Drosophila melanogaster: one gene and its partners. The protein of the gene in region 2 purifies or fractionates together with the protein of the main gene of each other region. This does not show direct contact. Each region holds a gene or a part of one and is shown on either strand. Other genes may lie near its edges.

Region 1 (7,850 bases), 6.2 Mb from region 2:
AATACCCGTACTAAAGTCAAAATCCTCGAGTGCTACATGTGTCTACCAAAAAAATGGTCAGTTTCCAAAAACCTAATCACTCTTAGGATCACCCAATTAATCACCATTAATATGTGATATTTTTGCAGTAACTAGATGTGCTTGTTGATAGTGAGGAAGCCAATCTCAAAAAAAAACCAATTGAACTAACACTTCTTACAATTTAAACTTTTAATTAGAATTTAGAATATAAAATAATATTAAGCTAATTTGGTAACAGTTTCATTTTAAATTTCAACTGTTTTAAGTGCTGTAAAGTGCATAAAGTGTTAACAGGTGGCTCCACGCACAACGCGTTAGTACCTTACCAAATAGCGTTTTCACTGCACCGCTCACCACGGCCACACTCTGCCTTTGTTTTGTTTTGATATTCCCACTGCATCGCATTTAATTTATTAAAAGCTGTTACCAAATTATGTCCTACGCCGGCTATAGCCAGCTGCCCAGCGGCAGCGACCAGGAGCGCAGGCAGGCGCAGCTCGCGGCCAGCACCTACGACGTGCTACAGCGGACGACGGACAGTATCCAGCGATCCAACCAGATTGCCATCGAAACGGAGAACATGGGGGCGGAGGTAATTACCCAGATAGTAGCCATTAACAGGGCTAACTAATGCTCGCTTACGCATCAACAGGTACTCGGCGAACTGGGCGAGCAGAGGGAGTCGCTGCTACGCACCACGCGCCGCCTGGAGGACGCCGATCAGGATCTGTCCAAATCGAGGGTCATCATTCGGAAGTTGAGCAGGGAGGTGCTCTACAACAAGATCATCCTAATCCTGATTATCATTCTGGAGGTGGGCATACTCGTCGGCTTGCTGGTGCTGAAGTTCGCTCACCTGTGAGCCAATGCCATTCTATTCCAAAGTCGTAACCACCAAACAGGCGATGGACTATATATACCTATTAATCGTTACGAATTCTTTGTCCTAGTTAATAAGCTTATAAATGTATATACTCCACTAAAATGCACTTCCAATTCAAAAAGGTCAGTTTTAGGATATACCCAGCGATGAATCGGGTGGTTGATTATGTTTATTCATGTTGGCTAAAGCGTTAATGCCTTAGACGTCTATAATATGTATTATGGTAGTAAAACACAGATAAAATCGGGTCTGGACATCGGAAGCTCTGCACTCCGAAGAGTTTAGCCCAGTCCCAACGCATATACATACGTATGCTATAACAATGATAATATGTAGTTCGTGCAGCACGCTATGCCACGACTATTTGGCAAAAAGCAACGTTAATTACATTCAGTGGGCGACAACGAGATAGTAGAACATCCTGAACAATGTCTGCATAATACTTGATCTATGATAAACGGTTACATATATGTAAGTATGTGGGCATCGCTTTGGGGATGCTTCTTTGTTCGAGAGATGTTTGGGATTTCGCAGAGCTGCGCCTCCTCATTCCTTTGGTGCAGCAGCTCTCCGCTTCAGTTGCCTTCAATTGTCCTTCGGAAGAACGATGGACCAGCCGAAAACGCGGCGATCGAAGCCGCAGGAGAAGAGATCGCAGTCCAGCAGCGGCTCCTCCGCCCACGCTACAGACGACACCATCCGTCGGTGGCCCTGCCGACTGGTCCGTGGCAATCGGGCGACTCTCTGCCCGTTCAAATCGAACAGTCGGATCTGTCGATTGTCATGCGGTATGGCGATAATTCCACCAGTGGAGACCGCCAAACGATTGACCGAGGAATCCGTTCGAATGGTGGCCAAGGCGGATCGCATGTTGCGCAGCTCCCAGACCTTGATTGTACGATCATCTGATCCGGACACCACCTTGTCGTCGCGTGCGAACACACTGGACGTAACCGTTTCCGTGTGCCCTTGGAAGACGGAGACCGCTGGGATTGCCTCTCGGAAGTCCCATAGACGGAACGTAGTGTCCCTGGAAGCGGTGACCACCAGGCGCTGGGTGGGATGTGCCGACACGTGGGTGAGCTCGTGGTCGTGCCCAGTGAGCGGCTGCAGTGGCAGGCCAGTCTCCACGTCCCACAGGATGGCAGTCCGATCCCAGCTGCCCGTGATGATTTGATCCATCGAAGAGAGCCAATCGGCGGCCACCACGACTGAAAGATGACCGCCGGGGCCTGTGAACTCGCAGAGCGGAGTGCGTAAGGTGTCCACACGATCGCGATCTTCCACCTGCTCATCACTGTCGTCCAGTTCCTCCTCTGAAGAATGGCCCTTCCTGAAAATCATGCAACGATTATTGAACTACTATAAAATATATTGCAAAGTTACTCACTTGGGCACTTCCCAGTTGACGGCCGCCTGCCAGATGTGGGCAGTACCATCCCCGCTGCCGGTGAGCACAAGATCTCGCTGCTGATGGAACTTGATGGAGTTTACGGAGCCGGCGTGCCCTTGGTACTGCAAAAGGCACCTGGCGCTCTCCACGCCCCAGATGCAGGCCGTATGATCGGCGGAGGCGGTGCCAATGATGGGTTGTCCCGCCTTGGCGGCAACCTGCCAGATGCCATCCTTGTGGCCGCCGAATTCTCGGACCACCGTGCTGACCACTGTGGGCGCCTTAAAGCTGGACACAATGCGGCTGGTTTGGGCCTTGATCTTGTTGCTGGCCTTGGCTTTGCTGCCGCCGGTAGCGCTGCTTAGTTTGGCCTTCAAGCTCTTGTGTGTACTGGATGCTGCAGCCAGGAAGCTGCCCGCCACCTCATCCGTCTGGGTTGCAGGCGTGGCCAAAGCTGCGGATGAGGCCTGAGTGCTCATTGAACCTCCTGCTGCGGATCTGGCATCGGGTGGAATCAATGACTCCTTGGTGGTGGTGGCTATGTCTAGCTTCTCCTGCACTATAACAGAGAATAGGCTTTAATCATGCGTGCACTATACAAAATTTGACATATGTAAGCAATAAATATTAAAGTTTATGAACGAGACCTTAAGGAGTTGTGGATTATATAGCTACTTACGGGCCTGGTTCTCCAGATACAGCTGCTCGAACTCCCGCTCGATCTGGGCGAAGAGGACGTGCAGGCGTGCACGGAATGGTGCATCTTCCGGTACGGCGGCCACGTCCTCCGTCAAACTGGTGAGGCGCACAGCCCGTGTCTTGCTAGCCTTCATGCTTTTCTTTTCGCCTCTTTGTTGTGTATCTCGCAAGTGATTTTCTGAGCCGAGCTGGTCGGCGATATCCGTTTCCTGGTGGGCAGAGCGCCCGGGGGAATCCAATTAGTGTTCAGGGGTTGCAGACTCGCGCTCTATTGATCCATCTTCCGCTGCTGGCGATGCATTTGCCTCTTTGGCTGACTGGGGAACTGCTGTTGCACTTGGTTTTCGCAATGATAATATACTTATTGCAGGTGTTTTTGTGCGCGGGGGGAGCGGGCGGAACAGCTGGTGTGTGTATCGAGTGTTATCGATGTGCGATTATCGCACAGTCGGACTGTGGCACACTGAGAGCAAATTGAACAAATTAAAATAAAATAATTTTGAAATTGCAGTTTACATATTAAATATATTTATATCATAAAAACGAAAAATCCTGTAAAAATTAACTGAAAATTCATTATATGTTATGAATTAGTTTAGAAAAATTTTCAACAAAAACACATCTATAAAAATGTACAATTAACAAAGTTTTTTTTTTAGTGCACTTTGGTTTGAGTACTAGTGTTGAGAAACAATTAGTTAATTTTGCTGACTTTCAAATCTGACACGTGAAGGTAAATAAATTCAAATAGAAATGTAACTATGGATCAGCGCTTTCCTGTAATTATTTATTAGGGTTGATTATCTTGTATAACCCTTTGAAACGGAAGCATTATCCTTAATCAACACTGTGTACTTGAACAGCTGTTTGGCCCGTAGTTGTAGGTACTATTTTTGAAAACACCATTGGGAGTTCCCACAAGACAAACAAATCCGTGCACCGTTGTATTGGATTCCAATCGAACAGCTGACATACCTTCGGGCCCGTTAGTTTTCCCGATCGCCCTGCATATGATACCATATCTCCCATTACAGCGCTGCAGCCCAATCAAACCGGTTTGTCGCCTTTCGACTTTTCGGTGGTCTCAGTTCACATCCATTTCCCCAACCAGTCCAATTGCTTTTATCTTGCTCCTCGAGTGTTAACGAAATTGCTTAAATCCACCCACATTCATCCTTTCATTCAGTTCGGCCTGGGAGTAGCAGCATGAAAAACGTTTTGGATGTCATGTCGATGCAGCAGCACGTGGAGTTGAACAAGGCGCAGACCATGAAGCCCATCGACTATCGGTAAGTTGAATGATCCAATCTAAAGATACCACCAATATATACATATCTGTGCCATCTGTGCCGCAGCAAAATGAACAAACCCGGCGTGGTGCCGATGTACATCTTTGAGTGCGCTGCCAAGTTGAAAATGAAACCGCTGACGGCGGCCTGTGCGGCCATAGTGTTCCATCGCTTCTTCCGCGAGGTCAAGGCCAGCGACTACGATGAGTTCGTGAGTAATATATGCCCCCAAAACGACCCCATCTCATGAGAAACTTTCTGGAATCCACAGCTCATTGCCGCGGGCTCGCTGTACTTGGCTGGCAAAATTAAGGAAGACGAAAGTGTCAAGATACGCGATGTCATCAACGTGGCATACTGCACCCTTAACCGGGGCAATGATCCAGTCGACCTGAACGATGAGTACTGGTCGATGCGGGATGCCATTGTCCAGGCTGAGCTGCTCATCACGCGCACCCTGTGCTTCGATCTCAACATAGATCTGGCCCACAAGTACTTACTCCACTACATGAAGACCCTACAAGACTGGGTGGGCACTGAGGTGTGGAACTCGGTGCCCATTGCCAAGGCAGCCGCCTCGTATCTGCAAGACTTTCACCACAGCGCCAATATCCTCAAGTACAAGCCCACCCATGTGGCCATTGGGTGCCTGTCGCTGGCCCTCCAGACCTACGGCATCCAGGTGCCGCTAACCGACGAGTCCGACGAATCCGCCATGTGGTACAAGCCCTTGGTCAAGGACTTCACCCGAGAGAACCAGTGGGAGATCATCGAGAACGTGATCGAGGTCTACAAGAACGAGGGCTTCCTGAATGCCACCTAATCGCTGAGAGAGACTGCCAAAACCATTCCTTCTGCCATCTGAACTTATTTATTTTCCCCTCGCCACCTCATAAACCAATCTCAGATACTACTAGACGTACATATGCTCAAATGTCCAATGCATTTACATCATGCCCTTGCCAAAACAAATAAATTGACCGGTAATGAAATGCTTATGTGATCGACGGGCGAAAGTACATTTACCTATCAGCGAAGACGATAGATCTAAAGTTTACAACTTATTTATACACTGATTCAATAAACAATTGTTCTGTGAAAAATGATATTGTTAATGGGTCTTTGGAGTTGTGAAATGCTTTAAGATTCTGAGGAAAAGCAAAAAGGTGTTTGGCGCTTTTATTTCAATCAAATTCATTATACTTTTAAGCTGTTAAAAGTTTTACAAAAAAATATTACACTTTATCAAACAAATTTAAATAAATCGCTCTGTATTTGATTAAATTCCGGGATGGGTGGCAACCCTTAGCCCCAGCCCAGCAGTGTTGACTAACGCAGGCATGTACAAAAACAATGCTAGTTCGTAAACAAAACATATTTTTTATACATTACTTGGCCAGAGCGAAAAAACAAGGACAATATGCGTAAGACGTGGGTGAAGCGAGAGAATATATACTTCAAGCCCTTCTACAAGCAGAAGTCGAAGATGTTCCTGCTGCTGATCTTCCTGGTCGGAATTTCGTTCATCGCGTATCAGGTGAGAGTCTCGCAAGGATTTTCCTGTGCACGGTGTTTAATGTGTAAACAATAACGATAGGCCTTCTCGCTGAACCAGCTGCCCGGAGTGCCTGCTCCGTGGAATCTGCAGCAGATCAAGCGCAAGCACCAGCAGATGATGCAGTCCCTGGGCAGCAAACAGCGCGACGTGGACGATTTCGATGGCGGAGGCGCCGATGCAGTTGCTCCGGCAGGCGGGGAAACCTCACCTGTTGCGGGTCACGAGGATCCCATCAAGATTGTCAGGTGTGTAGTAGATGCATTGTTGCTGGCTTGGGAAAATTCCTCATCCTCGTCTTTATCCTTTAGGGGCACACGGCTCTTCGACTACGACGCCTACAAGCCCAACTTCGAGGGCAAGTTCCGGTGTCTGGACGGCTCCAAAGAGATCCCGTTCGACCACCTGAACGACAACTACTGCGACTGTGAGGAGGACGGCAGCGACGAGCCCAGCACGAATGCCTGCGCCAAGGGGCGATTCTACTGTCGCTACCAGAAGCGTCACATCACGGGCCGGGGCCTGGATATCTACGTGGCCAGCAGCCGCATTAATGACCACGTGTGCGACTGCTGCGACGGCAGCGATGAGTGGAGCACGGCGACCAAGTGTCCCAACGACTGTGCGTAGTCGCAGGCCGACGGGACCCCGTTCCCACTCCCATTCCTCTTCCATCTCCTCCACCTGTGCACCTAGGACACCAATCTCAAGGATGAAGATGTCGGGCGGCGCATCACAAGCGATATTTTTTGTACGAGTACAATAGAATTGTAATTTATTTTAAAATAAGTAGATTGAATAAAAGAAACGAATTCCAAGAAACACAATGTGGCCTGTTCCAGTTTTCACATTCAAAGAATCTGATGGATTTAATGTGTACAATTTGTTTAAAACTATGTTTAATTTGGTGCCAGAGGAGCAGCTGCAAGATTAGATCTTTGTGGACATGTGAAAAAAAGAAGCTGCCATTTTATCCATATATGCTTATTCATTTTATTACCAGACTCACAAAAATCAGTAGAATTTACATTGGGAATTCCTTTTTTGTTTTGTTTTCTTTTTTTTGCTCGACTTTCTCTGCGCGATTTTTGGTTTCGAATTCGCAGCGTTTTCATTTATAATGTTCAATTTACATCTACGACCGTCTGTAATTTTAGTTAATATGGTTCTTCTTGCCTAAAAATGTTTTGTGCAGTTTAATCCGTAAAATGTACATCGACAAACTCTAAAGCAATTTTGAACTGCAAATTCTACAAGGTACGAAATTTTGTGTGTAATTAATTTTTCCCTTATATGCACAGTACGTCTCACTGGATTTTCTCTTGGTTTGCTTTCTTGGCTGGCTTTCTTGTCTTGTTTTGGATGATAAGCGGAAGCGGTAATGATCTCCACATCGATATACATAATTAGTTTAAGGAACGCGCGCCATCGCATTTACAATTACTTCTCGGATCTGAATTGGCAAAATTCACTTTATTCACTTGCATTTGCATTGAGTACTTCTTCTTTGACTTGCCCAGCACAATCAGAGAAAACTACGTCGTCTATGCCTGGACGAGCTGATTGCTATATTGCTATCGACGCTCTCGTCTCACAAATTTGATACTTTGCCCCCAGTTTGCGATGGAAACTGGGGATCAACCTAAGTAAAGTACATTTGTTGTTGTGGCTTGCTTTTTGCCAGTTGCAACTTAAAGTTAGCTTACGTACGCTAAGTAATACTTAATCAGAGGGCTTTGTGGGTGTGTGTGATTTAGATTTTAGGCTGGTTAGATTAATGCGTCTGTGCGGATGATGTATAAATTCATTGGGGTACTTAAAACATAAATTGCTTGAGACACGCTACGATTACAGTGCTTGCTCTACGATGTTTACTTTATATCATGTGCGCAAATCACAAATCTTTTCATCAATTACAAATAAATAGCATGGAGTGTTTGTATAAAATAAGAGAGGTCTGTAAAATCAGCATATATATAAATACGCATATATATAAATATATAGATATAT
Region 2 (7,751 bases):
TTAAAGTTCTTGATTGATGTGTTGTTTTTTTGCAACACGATCACTTATTCATTTGTTCCTTTTGGGTTTTATCACACCAAATGGCGAATGTGTACTCAAAGGGTTTCCAAATCGGGTTAAACGAATTCAGCACAGTTGACTGTTCGTATGTAAGCCGTAGGAAGGGAACACATTAAAATTAATTTCGTTAGCTGCGTTGTGATGACGTCGACAACTTTTGTCGCGCTACGCAGTTTGACCACTTGAATTCTAATTAGAAACGCAGCCAAAACAAGTGAAGAACATACCACATTAAGACAAGAGATCGGTGGGGAATTATGCCACACTCCCGATTATACAGGCCACATAAAAGTTATGCTTGCGTCTAATTGAGTCCGATTCGGATGCGGAATGGGAATATGAATATAAATACACGACCAGCGCGACCGTCAACCAAATCAAACTGCAAGCACAACACGCAAGTCACCAATGAATCGGCTACCTCAAAAAGAGAGCGAAGCGGTACTCTCTCTTTTCCGATCAACTCTCATTTGCCGTCGCCACATGGCAAAATAGGAATAGACACCGTGGTGGAAGGGAGGTGGGTAATGCAATTGGTCCGGCGGCAGCTGCAACGTTAGCAAAATCGCGTCTGTCCAATTAACACATTGCCACTTAATTAAGACCAACTGTTGTCCGAGACTTTGGCGCGCTGAATGGGAATTTAAAATTCAAAATAACAATCACATCTGGCAATGCCGTTTGGAACCAGGCTTGTCCAGCAGGTGTGTGAGCGGTGCCGCCAGATACGGACGATCTTCGCAACACACCAGTTGTCCCACTTACACTTGCAGCTTTTGCAACTAGCGGGCGATGTAAACAAAGGTGTTGGAGAGTAACAGCAACAGTTGTGCGGCCTGCGTCGACGTCGGCAGAGCGATTAGTCAACTGGAAATGGAAACACGGTTGCCGAGAGCAACAACAACGGCAGTGGAAGAAGAAGCAGCAGCAGAAGCGCTTGGAAAATGTTGAGCGGGGAAAAAGAATAAAAGTTTTTAATTTGCCTAAATTGGCTGCCCGTGAAAAGTGTTTAATTGGCAGTCCTAGCCCCCAAAGAAGCAACAGAAAGCCCAGGCGGATATCAGTCATCCGGCGTGCAGGAGCTTAGCTGCTCATTCGAGATTTGCAAGCCATGGAATGCGGTTCACACAGCGGACACCGCCCAATTCCGATTTGGCTTTCGAGCTGCCTCGTGGCCATGTGCTTGGGCCTTCCGCTAGGAGCAGCTGTCCCCCAGGAAGCACCTGCCTACTACTACGTTGGTTGCTACACGGCACGAACGGATCTTCTCCATGAATCGGTGTACGCCAAGACACCGCAGACCTGCATCGAGATCTGCGAGCATCAGGGTCACCACTATGCCGTGCTGGCCTCCGAGAAGTGCTTCTGTGCAAATGTCCTGGAGCCGCAGGAGCAACAGGATGAACAGCTCTGCAACACTCGCTGCCTGGCCAACAAAGCGCAGTATTGTGGCGGAGTTGGTGTGCACTCGTACTACTCCACCATACTGACCAAACAACCGGGTCCGCATCATCTAAGAATCTCGAACAAAACGGAGAACAGCCTGACCCTTAGCTGGAATGCGTACGAGGCGAGGAAACTACTCCTGGCCGGCGGCGCGGAGGCAGTGCTTCCCAACCAGCTACTGGACAACTTCCTGATCAAAGCTCAGGTCCTGAAGACCTACTCCTCGTTGCCCGCCTTCCCGCAGCCTGAGTTTATGGTGCAGAGCACGGAAACGCAGTTTGAACTCACAGACTTGCATCCCGCCACGCTGTACAACATATCCGTGAGAGCCATGTGCAAGGATGCCCAAGTAGGTCAATCTGAATGCGGACAGGCCTCGATAGAAGCCACCACGGAGGTTGGTAATGCTTGAATTCTAACGAGAATCCTAACCAATAACATTACTACTCCAAATTTCAGGTGGGCCTTCCAAGTCCCGTGCCAGCACAGCCGAAAATCCTCAGCCGGACTGACCGCACTGTAACCATCGAGTTGTCGCCCATTCGGAATGACAATGGACCGCTGAGCAAACTGCTCGTCATCGTGGAATACGTGGACAACGCCCTGAGTCAGCCATTCGATGCCCAGCTCCTGGGCAGCTGGCAGCAGGCTCAACAAGATGGAGTGCCCTACTACATAGCCGCCGAATTGGACTACGATCGACCGGAGGACAATCGCACCCGGCGCTTTGTGGTCGGCGATGGCAAGCGTTACGGACGATTTACCAATAAGCCGTTGGATCAACCAGATGCACATGTCCACATCAGTCTCGGATTGGTGAGTAATGCATTAAATTCGAATGAATATCTCTGTAACTATTTATATTCTAGGTGAGCACACTGGAGGGCGTTACCAAGACGATGTACAGTCGTGGAACTCACGACCAGCATGTGACATCCCTAGACGACTTTAGTTACGCCACCTTTGAGAAGGGTCAATCCTCGGTGGTTGCCCTAGCTGTCACCTGTGTGATCTTCGGCTCCTGCCTCCTGCTCAGTCTTATTGCCTACTTCTATCTGCGCTACAAGACCTGCCGCGGGCGACGATTGACTGGTGGCAATACGCACGAGATGACGCTGCAAACGCCCATAATCGAGCGGGAAAATAACGGATACCTTGTGGAGGACGATCCACTGCCACACTCGCCGGAAAACTTCAAGCAGCAGTTGCAACAGTTGGTGGAAGGATACGAACGGATACCAAGGAATGCACTACGACTAAATGTGAACGATGTGATCGGAGACGGACGCTTTGGTGAGATTATAACCGGAAAGGTTTCCACAAACGATTTTGCCAGAGATTGCACCCTGCACGTGCTCTGTCTGGACGATCTGAATGGTACTACACAGGCACAGTTGCTGAGAGAACTACGTCAGTTGTCTCAATTGAAGCGCCAGGAGCATTTGCTAGATTTCTATGGAGTATCAGCAAGTCCCGATTGGTTCTACCTAATCTTCGAGCAGCAACGCATGAGTCTAAAGAGAAAACTGGTGGAGAGTCGCCTGATGGCACCGTCGCCACGCTTGACTTCCCTCTCTGAGCAGCTAGTGCTGCAGTGGATCTACGAGCTTGCCAGTGCCATGAATTATCTATCCAGCTGCCAGGTGGTGCATCGACAGCTCTGCTCGCACAGCGTCTTCGTTACCAGCGATTTCAAGCTAAAACTGAGCGTCTTTGGACCGCTGCCCTACATGAACATTGCTCGCCAGCAGCCAGACCACAACCGGTGGCTGGCCCCGGAGGTGCTGCGCCATCAGCATCACCATTCCACCCGTTCTGATGTCTGGTCCCTGGCCTGCGTGGCGTGGGAATGCTGTGCCCTTGGCGGTACTCCCTATGCCAATGCAGTGGCAAGTAACCAACAGCTTCTAGAGGCCATTCGGGCTGCAGTGCGTCCGGCGCAGCCAGCCTACGTCTACGGGGATCTCTACCAGCTGCTGCTCAACTGCTGGCAGCTGGAGCCGAGCGAGCGGAGCAGCTGTGAGGACGTGGCCTTCGGAGTACGTCAGCTGATGACCTCACCGCGTCATGCCCTCAGCTTTGATCGAGTGGCCGGCGGACTAGACACCCTGCCTCCGTACCTGCCGCAACTGGAAGCCGTTGCTACGATGGGCTGAGGTGCAGCCGAATAGTATAATTAGCTTTAGTCAGCGAGAGACCACATTCGCATAGAGTAGATTTCGGTTCTGAGTCACTGCTGCTAAGAGAAAACATCACTTCATTTCGATTTTAGATGAGTTCACTTTCAGTGTTCTGAAGAGAAAATAATTTGTTTTAGAATTTACACATTGATTTAATAAAGCTCATAAATTGTTATTATCCATATAATATTAGAAGTGAGCATTTATGAAACACAATTCGATGTTTATTGTTAATACGCACAAACTTCCTACAAATAAAAGAGTGTTCTATGCCAGAGCTTATCAGATCTATAAGGTAGTTAATTGCTTATCTACAACCCGAAAGAAAGGAATCGACTTTCCCCCACGCGAAACAAAGTTCAAGCGAACGTGCTCGATGGAGAGCGCGATAGATAAAAGACTACTGACAGTCTGGCCCCCAAAATTGTGTAATAAATTGAGGGATCCATAGCGAATGGATCTACCAACAGACCAGCGACTGTGATTCCCCCGCCGATCGCTGATGTTGCACAAACCAGACAAAAGCGAAAACTAAAAGCAAAAAAAAAACCAAGGGAGAGAGCCGCGAATGCGAAACTTTGATCGCTGGCGAGCAGCAATTAATAATAGAAAATAAACGGCGGTGTTGCTTAAGTGTGAGTGGATCAAAATTGACGATTAATCAGTTTAAAGGTCTTGCATTGCATCTATTGTTTGTTATGTTGTTTAAGAATTAATTAGGGAAATTGTTGGCAGCAGCCTAGATGCGGTTACATGCATTATTAGTCATCCGAAATAGTAGGGCACTTTATGTATGTATATTCCATTGGTTTGGACAATCATCTTATAATGAAGCTACATAGCAAAAAAAAAAAAAAAATCTAAATCTGTGTATATTCTTCCGATATGCACTTTTCAAATGAAATGTTCAAAATTCGTTATCAGTACTTAAAATTTCTCACTATGTACAAGCTTATCTCGGGATCCTTCCCAAAGAAGATAAGCCATTGTTTCTCTTGTCGACGTGTAACTATTGGATCCACCAAAAAACCCAAAGCACATGGCTCACCCGGAATTTAGAGCGACTTTCTTATAGAGTATATGGTAAATACGGTAAATGAAGCGCAACGATATCCATAGCGACTTTTGGACGCTTACCTTGCCCGCAATTCAAGGTGAAATGACGACGAACAATTGAAGTCACTGAAATGTGTATACATTCCGAGCAAATGGGCAATTATTATTAATAAATCGAGCTGAATGGCTGCTATCGGAATTCAGGGGCTTCGACTGCCGACCATGCTCATGAATATGTGGAAGATGATGATGATGATGAGGTTCATCCGGTATTGGCCAACTTTGCGAGTGTTTTGCATTCGCCTGGTTAAATTGTTATTGTTTTTGTTACATATACACACATGGAGATTATGAGGAATCCAAGGAAACTGGTTGCTCACACACGCACACCAACGCACTGCGACGGAGCCACTCACGCACACTACCAAATGGTCGGCTAACTGCGCAAATAATGCGGCTTCTGTGTCGGCCTTTGTTACTCACTTTACTTAACCATTTACATCGGACACTGGACTTCACTGCGCTGCGATTTTTCGACACTTTGGAAGCAGAAAAGTACGTATTTTGTTTGTGCTCTGCCAATGGTGTGACCGTACACCGTTGGGCGAAAAATCACCTATAAGTGTGGGGGTGAAAATTCATTAGCCAACACTGAAATGCTTATCGATAACATTTAGCTATTTTTAGTATTAGCTAACTGGTATATATTAACGGTCATCATAAGGTCACACTGCAAACGGTTAAACGAACGGCCACATTGTGTTGGACCGATGATGTGGATTTAAAAGTTAAATATTTCAAACTTAGTTATAGCAAATAGCTATGGACATCACCCAGAGCTTCAAGGCCAGCGTAATGACGGTGCGCCTGCAGCGCAAGGCCGAGCTGGCCGGAAAGGCCAAGCCCGCCACAGTGCCGACAAAAACTGGACCAATTGGCCCAAAGGATGACTTCGCCAAGCAGGCCAAGGAGGTGTGCAACAAGATCACTTCGCTGCGCAATGTGCTGATCGAGAACCGCACCGCCTACATGCGCATTGGCCAGCACCTCAAGTCCGCCGCACACATGACCGACGCGCAGCGGGATCTGATTGATCGCGAGTCGGAGAAGTTCGTCACCTTTTACACGCAGCACCTGGCCAAGATGCGCAGCGATTGGAAGAGCGCCAAGCGGAAGCCGCAGGAGCGTCAGCACATCGACGCCGTGCTGGACCTGCTGGTCAGCTATTTGCACAGCGTGGAACAGATCTATCTGGACCAAAAGAAGTACCGTGTGCAACACGAACTGGAAACCTATAGGCTGCTCAAGCTGGCGGCGGACAAAAAGAAGATACCAGTGCGTCCGGCGGGCAGCAACAGTGGCAAGCTGGGCAGGCGCCAGGTCAGCAACGATGACAGCGAAGCCACGAAGTCATCTTCACAAGCAAATGGCAACCACGACGAGTCCGCCGACAATGACTGGAATAACGACGCCTGGGGCGACTGGGATGAAGACGAGGAAGGCGACGAGGTGGACGATCACGATGGCGAGAAGGGCAAGGAAGCCAATCAGGCCAATCAACACAAACCGCGTACGCGCAAACGAAGCAAAGCCAACAGATCGGATCTGAACAACTCATCCTCCAAGATGGCTCTGGATGAGGAGCTCCAGCAGCAGCAGGAGGCCGACGATGACGATCCCCTAAGCGCCGAGGATGTGCAGCTCTTCGAGGCGGAGAACGTACACATCTACAACTTTCTGCAGGGCGTCTCCGAGGAGGTGGAGCAGATCGAAAAGAACGTGGTAGACATTGCCCAACTGCAGGACATTTTCACCGAAAAGGTAAGATGGCATGATAACACAAGTCCCAAGGAATCCTTGCTGTTCTTAACAACGATATCTTTAGTTTAATTTTGGTGAGAACATATTGCTCCATATTGCCAAGAATACTTAGTGGGTTTAAGTGGCTGCCCATATGTTTGTCGACTTAATCCTTCAATTAAAAATATTAATTGGCTTCGCTAAAATCCACATCCTTCGCGATTACAATGGATGTATAAGCCGGGCTCTTATTAGCATGCAATTAATTATTAACTAGATCCAGATAGATCCACGTCCTAATCTCATTTAATCCTCTTAAATTTCCCTTTCCCTTTTGTAGGTCGCCATGCAACAGCACAATATCGACAGGATAGTTAGTGCCGTCGTGGGCACCACGGAAAACGTCAAGGACGCCAACGAGCAAATCCGGCAGGCCACTCAACGAAATGCAGGACTACGCGTGTGGTCGCTGTTCTTCCTGCTGGTCATGTCGTTCTCCCTGCTCTTCTTGGACTGGTACTACGATTAAGTGAAGTCCCCAAATTTATGTGTAACCCACCCAATTTAGGGAATGATAAATGCAAAAATGTTTTGTTATCGTTTGATCGCACTAAAAGCATATTTTGTTTATTACATAATTTATAAATAAAAGGAAAATATTTGTTTAGGCTATTCAACTGCCTTGTTTCAATTCAATGAAACCTCGTACAACAATATGGAACTAAAATCGATTTGAGCGCCTTGCTCACACATGTCTCAGTAGTTAATTTAAATTCTACACCAAAATGTGTTTTAGTGTGTTGCTTGGTACATTGTTTATATCTAGGTCCTTAGTCATATTATTTTCATTAAACGCTCTTCAAAAAAATATATATATATATCTAACTGGGAACGGAAATCAGCAATAAGTATGTATATGTATATATATGTCTAAGGCCTAAAGTTAACCTTTGCGTATTTCTTTCAGTTGGTTTCATTACATGAATGTCTAGATTCTAACTAGCTTAGGTCTAATATTTTGTAGCCTTAAGATTTGTGTCTGAGGGAGTGTATCCTTGGCTTAGTCGCTAGGTGTTCTTTTGTTTTTAGTGCAATATGGGATTGCATTCAATGCAGTCTGCTGGTTCTTTTGTTTTCTTTTCATATTGTTTAGAATAAGAGTTAAGAGTTACTTAATGATTGGCTCTCCAATGGGATAAATGGAAGCTA
Region 3 (7,989 bases), on a different chromosome or scaffold from region 2:
TTTGCTCCTCTGCTATCAGACCAATTCCCAGATTGTCCAGGGCAGATTCCCTCTATCCAGAGAGCTAGCTTTGGAGCTGGCCTCGCTAATGTCTCAGATCGACATGGGCGATTATTCGCTCGAGAAGTCGAGGGATGTGGGTGTGGGCCTTAAGGGTCTGGACAAGTTTTACCCGTACCGCTATAGGGACGCCCTAGGTGCCGAGCAGCTGAAAGATGTGCAAGAGCTGCTGGTCTCCAAGTGGATGCTCCTTAAGGGCCGCTCGACCTTGGATTGTGTGCGCATTTATCTCACGTGCTGCCGGAAGTGGCCATATTTCGGAGCTTGCTTGTTTCAGGCGAAGCCCAGACAGAGTCCAGAATCCAACACCGCCTCGGGAGCTACCCCGGTAGCTTGGTTGGCTGTCGCAGAAGATGCTCTCAATGTCCTCGAGCTGTCCACAATGGCTCCGGTGGCCAGGTATCCGTATAGCTCCGTTATGACCTTTGGCGGCTGCCAGGACGACTTTATGCTAGTGGTTTCCCACGATGACGGCGGAGGCGGTGAGCAAAAGCTTCTCTTCGCAATGAGCAAGCCGAAAATATTGGAAATCACACTGCTGATAGCAGACTACATGAATGCGCTGGGACACACGGTGCCCGGGACTCCGCAGATGAACTCCCTGACGAGGAATGGGTCGCATCGCTCGCTAAGAACCTCCCAGCGGCCAAACTTGGGTGGTGGCTCAGCGGTGGCCACCGGGTTCTCTACAAATGCCACCACAACGGCCCACAATACGCTCAATTCGCATGCGACACACACGCTTAACTCCAACCATTCGCACACGCTGAGCAGCTCCCATCACGCCGGCGGGGGAAGTCAACCGGGCACTCTGAGCTCGGGTCATCATCAGCACCACCATATCCAGCAGCACCACCAGCCTGATATCCTGAAGAGCACACCGGATCACCAGAGGATTAAATAGAGAAGAGTGGGATTGGAGGATCTCAAGAAGAACGATGGTTCCCTGCACGTTGAGGATTACGGAAAAGATAATCAAAAAGAGGAAATTAGAGAGTAGCGAAGAAGGATTAAAGTAGAGCTAAAGGATCACACATTGTACATAAAGGTGGAAAATCACAGCTAAACAGACATATACAACTAACAGATACATATGCACCGGCCTAGTGGCTACAAATATGAAACTAAAGATAGAATGATAGAAAGATATAAAGATAGACGGATGGATAGCGATAGCGGTAAAAATACGACTTAGCCTAATAGGCCTGGGATGGACCTTCTTCTCCTTGCGCACCACTCACTAAAGTTATTTTCTAAGCTAACGACGGTACCCGTACTCTAAACCTACTTTGTAAACCGCAGCAGCAGGCATATATATATAAATATATACTATATATTATTTTTTTTTGATAGTCATAAGCCCAGCGTACCCGAAAGTGCATGAGGGTATGCGTAGAAACGAAAACAGAACAAGAATCTCAAAGTTCAGATTGTTCCTGACTTATTTATTTATTTTTGATTTTTCATAGTTCAAACCAACATACAAGTAAAGGCAATGCAAAACACACCTATAAAAATGATATGTTTGAGTGTTATTGCTCTTCGATGCTTTTTAATGAATCTCAATTTGTAATTGTCCCTCCACGCGCAAAACTGCCTTCTGAATTTGTATAGATGTCGGAGCCAAGAACGAGAAAAATATAGTTATACAAAACGAAGCCAAAAAAAACAAAACAAGCGAACTATAGTAGCATTAGCAGAATCCAATTGAGAAAAGCAAATATTTTTTAAAGAATTTTGAGCCTAGTGCGGGCTATCAACCAAGCATACCCATCTATTGTATATCTAAATAGTTCCAGTTACGCCCCGACCCGCCCCGCCACGCCCGACTCGTATGGTTTTCGCATAAACTAAAACTTCGATTTTATAGACCGCGTAATTTATTTTCGATCCCACTCACCACCAGAGCTTCAGCAGAACCACAGCCTAGTACACGGAAGCCAGAGGAGGTTGCAAAATTCGGTAGATGATTGCTCTTCTCCCCAGTTAATTAATTATTGCAGACCATTTCACACATCCCCCCCCACAAAGCATATGCATTCATATGTAGTTATGTAGAGAGCGTATATATGTATTCGGATTCGATATTTCACAAAACTATACACACCAAATTACGATATAGCAGTGTATATGGCAACAGCGCATTTTTTTCCTAATTGTAAAGATTTGATATTACAAATTTATATGCGCTGAGACGCAACGAAAACGGACATTTAGCGGGACGATATGAGACCGAATGGGATCGGGATCGGATCAGATCGAGAAATTCATTGAGAAGAATCGTAATTCGAAGGCTTGCAAGTGGATATAAACTATAAAGGCGAATGTATCACATCACACTCAGTGAATCGAAAAATATATAAAGGGAAATTATCGATTAAAACTAAACCAAAAATCAGATGCAGTTTCTATCTTTCGGGCTTGGGTAGTGCATCGAACACAGTTTTGCCTTCTCTTTATTAAACAATATAAATTTATTTATTTGCCTTAATTTTACACATATAAATTGCCTAAAACTGTTATTGTTTATTTCCCTTTCTCTTCTTTTCTTTTCTTTCGGTTCGCTTGTTATCTTTTCTTTTTCTTTTGTTTTTTGCGGTGTTTTTGCAGCTTGTATCAAGCACTCCGCCGGATTCGGATTCGCTATGCAGCGATCCATCTACAATCTAGACATTTATACACACACACACGGATCGACGCTCATAATTTACAGATTTGGGTCGTAGTCAACCGACTTGGCTCAAAGGTCGTCTAAACTAAACCCGATTCGTAATCAAATATTTAGAAAACCTGCGCAACGGAAGCGCGAGGCGAAATGAAATGGGAGTTAATAATTAATGGAATCCCAGACCGTAAATAACGCAAAGGTAAGTTAATATTAGAAGTAAAACAATCCTCGGGAGCGATGCGTATGCTGGTAGGGGGTTTCGCTATTCACTTTTCGCTTGCCTATGATTCATAGATATGAATGAATATGGTGTGGTTGGTGGCGTGGAGTACAGGTGCACGCGTAATCTAAATGTCTTTTGGTCTTGCGTCCTTGACGCTTGACTCCAACAAAGAACGCGCCGCTCCGAGTGGCCATGGAACTGCTTGATATTACAGAACCCAGAAATACATGATGAACACTAGAAGTATCATGCCCAAGGCCATCGCCTTCACGTACATGGACTTTCGGTTGAGCAGCTTGGCGTCCTTCTTGTACTTCTGTGACATCATCGATAGGTTCTGGGTCTTGGTGTCGAGTTCTGGAAGGAAAAACGGGGTGAACGTCAGTTGAATCCCACAATCACGCGTAGATAGTCGCGTAGATAGTAGTAGTAGTAGTTACCCGCCAGCACTGTGCCACGTTGGAGCACGTCGTCAATGTTTTGCACCATGATGCGCTGCACATCCTGCAGCTGTGTGTTGATGTTGCTGATGTTGCGTCTGCGGTCCGTCAACTGTTTTTTCGCCTTCTGTATGTACACGTCAAACTCGATGAATGCGTATGGGCGAGTCACTGAGTTTACTCGCCGGCCGTAGTTAGCATGGAACTCCTGGGCCAGGTCCTCCAGGTAATTGAAGGCCAGTCGCTTTGAGTACATCTTGTCCACCATCACCAGGTAGCAGACGTCGTTCTCGATTAGGTAGCTGCAGGGAAAATGTGGAATATTTTAATTGGGGCGCCCATTGCATCTTCTGGCTTTCGCAAGCAGTGAGCGTTTAATTTAACTTCGTATCAAATTACATCTATACTCTTTGTTCCGAAACTAAATCAACTGTCACTGACTACCCGCGGAGCCGAGAAACCTTTGTACATGGTGTGATTTTAATGGTCTATGCCCTGGCAAAGGTGCCACGAATTGGGGCTACTCACTGGAATAGGTAGGGTCCGGTCTCGATACTGCATCGAGCCGGGGAGTGGGTACCCAGCTTGCGGAAGAGCATCTTAGCCTGGTTTTGGTAGTCCAGTATGCTGCGTCCGCTCTGAAAGTGAAAGCGACTTAGTTGCGGGAGCGGAACGGAATGCAACGTATTAGAAAGTGATGCACACGGGTACCTGCTCGTCATCCTGCATGGTCCCCACCAGAGGAAGGCCATCGATGACCCTGGCTATCATGGTCAGCAGCGCCATGGCTTCTGCTGTTCCTGGTTACGATTGCTCGCGGAACTACGGGGCTGCGTCTCAAGTCTTCTTGGCCACGGCTGCACTCTGCCGTCGCCTCCTTCCACTGGCTGCTACTTATTCCGATGTGGATCCGCTGCAGTCCAGTCACCAGTGTGTGAAGTTTGTGTCCGGTCGTCCTCTTCCACTTCTTGGATTTCACAACTCAGCCGATCGGTCGGTGCTTGCCGCAGTGCTCCTGCGATGCCCGGGACTTCCAAATGGACTCTGCCTCGAATCGGGAACGTTCGCTGCTACCATGAAAACTGTGTTGCAACGTCGCGGCGGGCGGGTGTCTGGGATTGGAGTGGATTGGAGGTTTCTGTGGATGTTTGTTGCAATGTAACCACGTCACCGGTATGTCCGTGTAAATATACCGAATGGTGCGAGGCATACCGAATACCGCAGAGTATCTCAGAGTACCGACCGCCAACGGTCACATTAACGGAAGTCCATTATACCATTCGTTTCTTCGTTTCTTTAAATGCACGATATGGAAATACGCTTTCAACTCGTTTTCAAGCCAGCATGCCCCTGAAAATGGCGCTTTCGAGTTTCCGGGCTTTCCCGCAAAGCTATTTTCCCAGGTCTACAGCTTTGACAGCTTGCGCTCTGCTGTAATGTGGAGTTTGCTTTTTGTATGCGTGTGTTGTACACAGGATGCGGATTAAGGATCCCCAGAAGTTCAATAGAAGTACAATACTTCGATTCACCCATGAACCTGGCGCCCAGATGCATTGTTCTATAGCTGTTTTGAGTCCCAATCCGACCAATTGGTCTTTGGTATTTTTATTTTTTATATTGGCAATCGAGTTGCGAATATATTATTTCAAATATTTAAATATAAATAAATATTTATTTAAATTATTAACCAACATAAATCGAAATCCCTGGCACGTCGCGCCGCTTTCGCAGACTCAAATCCGCTGGCGCAGATGCCGGAAGTGGGTTGGACCCCCCAAAAGTCGATGACCAAGCCCAACCGGTTCGCCCGCGAAGACCATCCTCTGCATGGACATCCACATCCATCCCCAGAAGGAAAAGTGGTTCGCCCGCGAAACCGGACTTGGACTTGAGGCAGGGACCCAACTATATGGACTACCTGTGGTACTTGGCGATGGAGCTGCGTGCGAATGTGCGTTTCAAGCGACCACCGGAAAAATCTTTGCACTGGGAAAATAATTCATATCGAATGCGACTTATTCATCTATGTATATTATGAATTGAAGCCCTGCAAGCGAATGCGAATAACCATTCCCATTTCTGCTCATACCGAAGAATGCTAAGATATACACAAGTTTGTGATCAAAGCGGGAAAGCTTATGACATTATTTAAAATGCTTGTACTGTGATCTTAAATCGAATGCATTTCAATTAACTCTGAGCCCATCGAGGACTGCGGTCAACCTATTTTCTCATCGTGTGATCGGATCACCCGCAGCGGAATGCGTGCGCTTCCGTTTTGCTCGGCTTGGCCTCCTTCCTCGTTCCGTTGAAAGCAGGTATGTATATATAAGCCACTGCTCCACCTAGAGGCTCCACAATACAAAGTCAGTCATGGCCGGGTCAGTTCGTGCGACGCTCCTGGGTCTCCTCATGCAGATCCTGTGCAATGGGCTGGCTGGTCAGCAGCTGCTCCTCACACGTCCCCAAAGGAGCCTGTTCGAGACTCCGCTGGGTCACGTAGAGCAAGTGGAACAAGTGCCCTCTTTAGGCTGGAATAGTGTTGGTAGTGGACTCGGAGTGGGCGAGTGGCCCTACAGCCCCGTTGGTCTCGGCCACATGAGCAAGGATGAGCTGCTGACCCTGCTGGAGGCCTGGAAGGAGGTCGAGGAGGAATCGGCCACAACAACGACTGCGTCGCCAGCGGATGCCAGCACACGTAGACCTCCTCCGCCTCCACTGCCACCACCACCACCTCCTCCGCCACGACCCACACCCATACCAGTCTCCGTTGCAATCCCGTCACCGGCTGTTCCGCCCTCCGGCACTCCCATTACAGTGCGGCTCCCAGCCTTTGTGCCTGTGCGTCTGGCTGCCGTGTTTACTCCGCTTGCCGGTGGACAAGCTGATAGTGCTGTTCCGTCTGCCAACGGAGTCGGAGGGGCTGGAGGAGATGATTTGTCCACCGATGACGTGACAGATGATGACGGCGTCTCTACCCGGCTCTTTCGCTTTTTGCCCATGCCAGGAGCTCGAACGAGACCGCAATCCAATTCACAGCCCAGGCAGCAATTTGTGGTGAGGAACACCCTGGACAGCGTGGATGCGGGCACTGCCCCTGTCAGGCAGCAGATTAAACCGGAAGTCCAGCCCAAGGCGACTGCTCCGCCTTCCATTCCCAAGTTCCCTGGCCACCCAACTCCCTTCTTCCGTCCCAGGTAAGCAGAAACGAAAGCGCTAGAGGTGGTCATCTGGGCAGCCGGCTCATTTCCCTCCATTTTTGCTCTAGATTTGGTGTGCCACCGAGTCTGGCCAACGCTCGATTCGAGCTGGTGCCCTCTTCCCAAATCATCGGCGACTGGCGGGTGTGAGCCTGTGCATCACTTGACTGACCAAAACGGAGTACCTTCCGGCGAACCAACCAGGATCGAGCTTTTGAAGGAGGCTGTCTTGCTAGGCTGTTTCCACTGTTGCTTATGTATTTTATTTTTTATTGAATAATAATTTTTTTTTTTTTTTTTGTGTCCAAATAGAATATGCAATCAGTCATAGATTAGCGACATACTAACTGCTTTCGAATTGAAGTAGGCACTTTTTCTGCTCCAATGGCCATGTGAAGCCATATATGTACATCTATTTGTATGTCCTCTGAAATCGCTCAGCTTTTAAAACAAAGAGCAGTCTGAAGAGTACATATAAAGATAGCGATCAGCCCGAGTATTTAGCCATAACAATTTATAGTATTTTTCGAATCCTAAGATTGGAATATTCAGTTCAATCGAATATGTATGCAGTTTCCCCTCACACAGTTTTATAAGTTGGCCTGAAGTTTTTGTACAAAAAAATATAAATTTTATATTTAGAAATGAAATGCTCTGCATCTTTTAATGCCCTCTGCGACGTGGGAACGCCGCGTCCGAACTTGCAGCGGTTAATTCCCTATGTCGAGCCGCAACAGGACGACGAGGAGGATATGGTAGTGTGGTGCCGGTCAAATCTGGATTTGGCCTGCTCGCTCAGCGAGATGCGCATACGCTGTCCAGAGCACTTCGATGTCGCAACCGTCGTGGGGGTAAATTCGCATACCGGAAAACTAATCACCCACTTTAATCACCGGAAACTGGGGGATGTGGACCTGGCGCCTCACGCGTTGCTTAGCCGGCGAGACAAGTTCATGGACATTTGCCAGAAACAAGTAATGACGAGTCAGGGCTGCTTGGCGTCAGAGGGAACACCAATCCCCGCCGACCTGGAGGTCACTTGGCAGAGTCATAGCATCATTGACTGCCTTGCTCTCCGCAAGGTGCGTGCAGAGATGAATTTAGCTGATCAGAAGGCGGCCAAGAATCTTGTGGATCGCGTTGAGGTGCACCACAAGACTTTGCAGACGGAGGAGGCGGAGCGAAGGAAATTGATTATTGACAAGGCAAATTCTGCGAGGAACTTGACTATTGACAAGGCAAACTCTGCGAGGATCTTGGCTATTGACAAGGCAACCTCCGCTAGGAAATTGACTATTGACAACTCAACCTCCGCGGGGACATTGACTATAGACAAGGCAACCAACGCGAGGAAATTGACTATTGACAAGGGAACCTCCGCGAGGAAATTGACTATTG

Evidence for each region. The genes of interacting proteins can lie anywhere in the genome.
Region 1: the proteins of Syx18 (region 2) and koko purify together in Drosophila melanogaster (affinity purification with mass spectrometry, with the first as the bait; one large-scale study listed by BioGRID). This does not show direct contact.
Region 3: the proteins of Syx18 (region 2) and Sec22 purify together in Drosophila melanogaster (affinity purification with mass spectrometry, with the first as the bait; one large-scale study listed by BioGRID). This does not show direct contact.

The regions. Positions count from the first base shown.
Region 1 is NT_033777.3:18,399,338-18,407,187, forward strand, and holds koko (kokopelli), read left to right. Parts: upstream 1-3,688; 5' UTR 3,689-3,729; intron 3,730-3,885; exon of another isoform or gene 3,886-4,182; 5' UTR 4,183-4,202; coding exon 4,203-4,285; intron 4,286-4,351; coding exon 4,352-4,496; intron 4,497-4,556; coding exon 4,557-5,108; 3' UTR 5,109-5,389; downstream 5,390-7,850. Other genes in the region: Vti1b (vesicle transport through interaction with t-SNAREs 1b), read left to right, coding at 455-613, 674-883; Wdr37 (WD repeat domain 37), read right to left, coding at 1,490-2,237, 2,295-2,856, 2,977-3,130; CG7685 (uncharacterized protein), read left to right, coding at 5,706-5,822, 5,883-6,088, 6,152-6,470.
Region 2 is NT_033777.3:24,623,287-24,631,037, reverse strand, and holds Syx18 (syntaxin 18), read left to right. Parts: upstream 1-5,475; 5' UTR 5,476-5,564; coding exon 5,565-6,563; intron 6,564-6,882; coding exon 6,883-7,071; 3' UTR 7,072-7,236; downstream 7,237-7,751. Other genes in the region: wsck, read left to right, coding at 1,172-1,903, 1,966-2,322, 2,376-3,662.
Region 3 is NC_004354.4:802,673-810,661, reverse strand, and holds Sec22 (secretory 22), read right to left. Parts: upstream 4,587-7,989; 5' UTR 4,178-4,586; coding exon 4,097-4,177; intron 4,030-4,096; coding exon 3,920-4,029; intron 3,694-3,919; coding exon 3,392-3,693; intron 3,309-3,391; coding exon 3,160-3,308; 3' UTR 2,462-3,159; downstream 1-2,461. Other genes in the region: CG43867 (uncharacterized protein), read left to right, coding at 1-964; CG13358 (uncharacterized protein), read left to right, coding at 5,765-6,588, 6,660-6,741; CG13359 (uncharacterized protein), read left to right, coding at 7,236-7,989.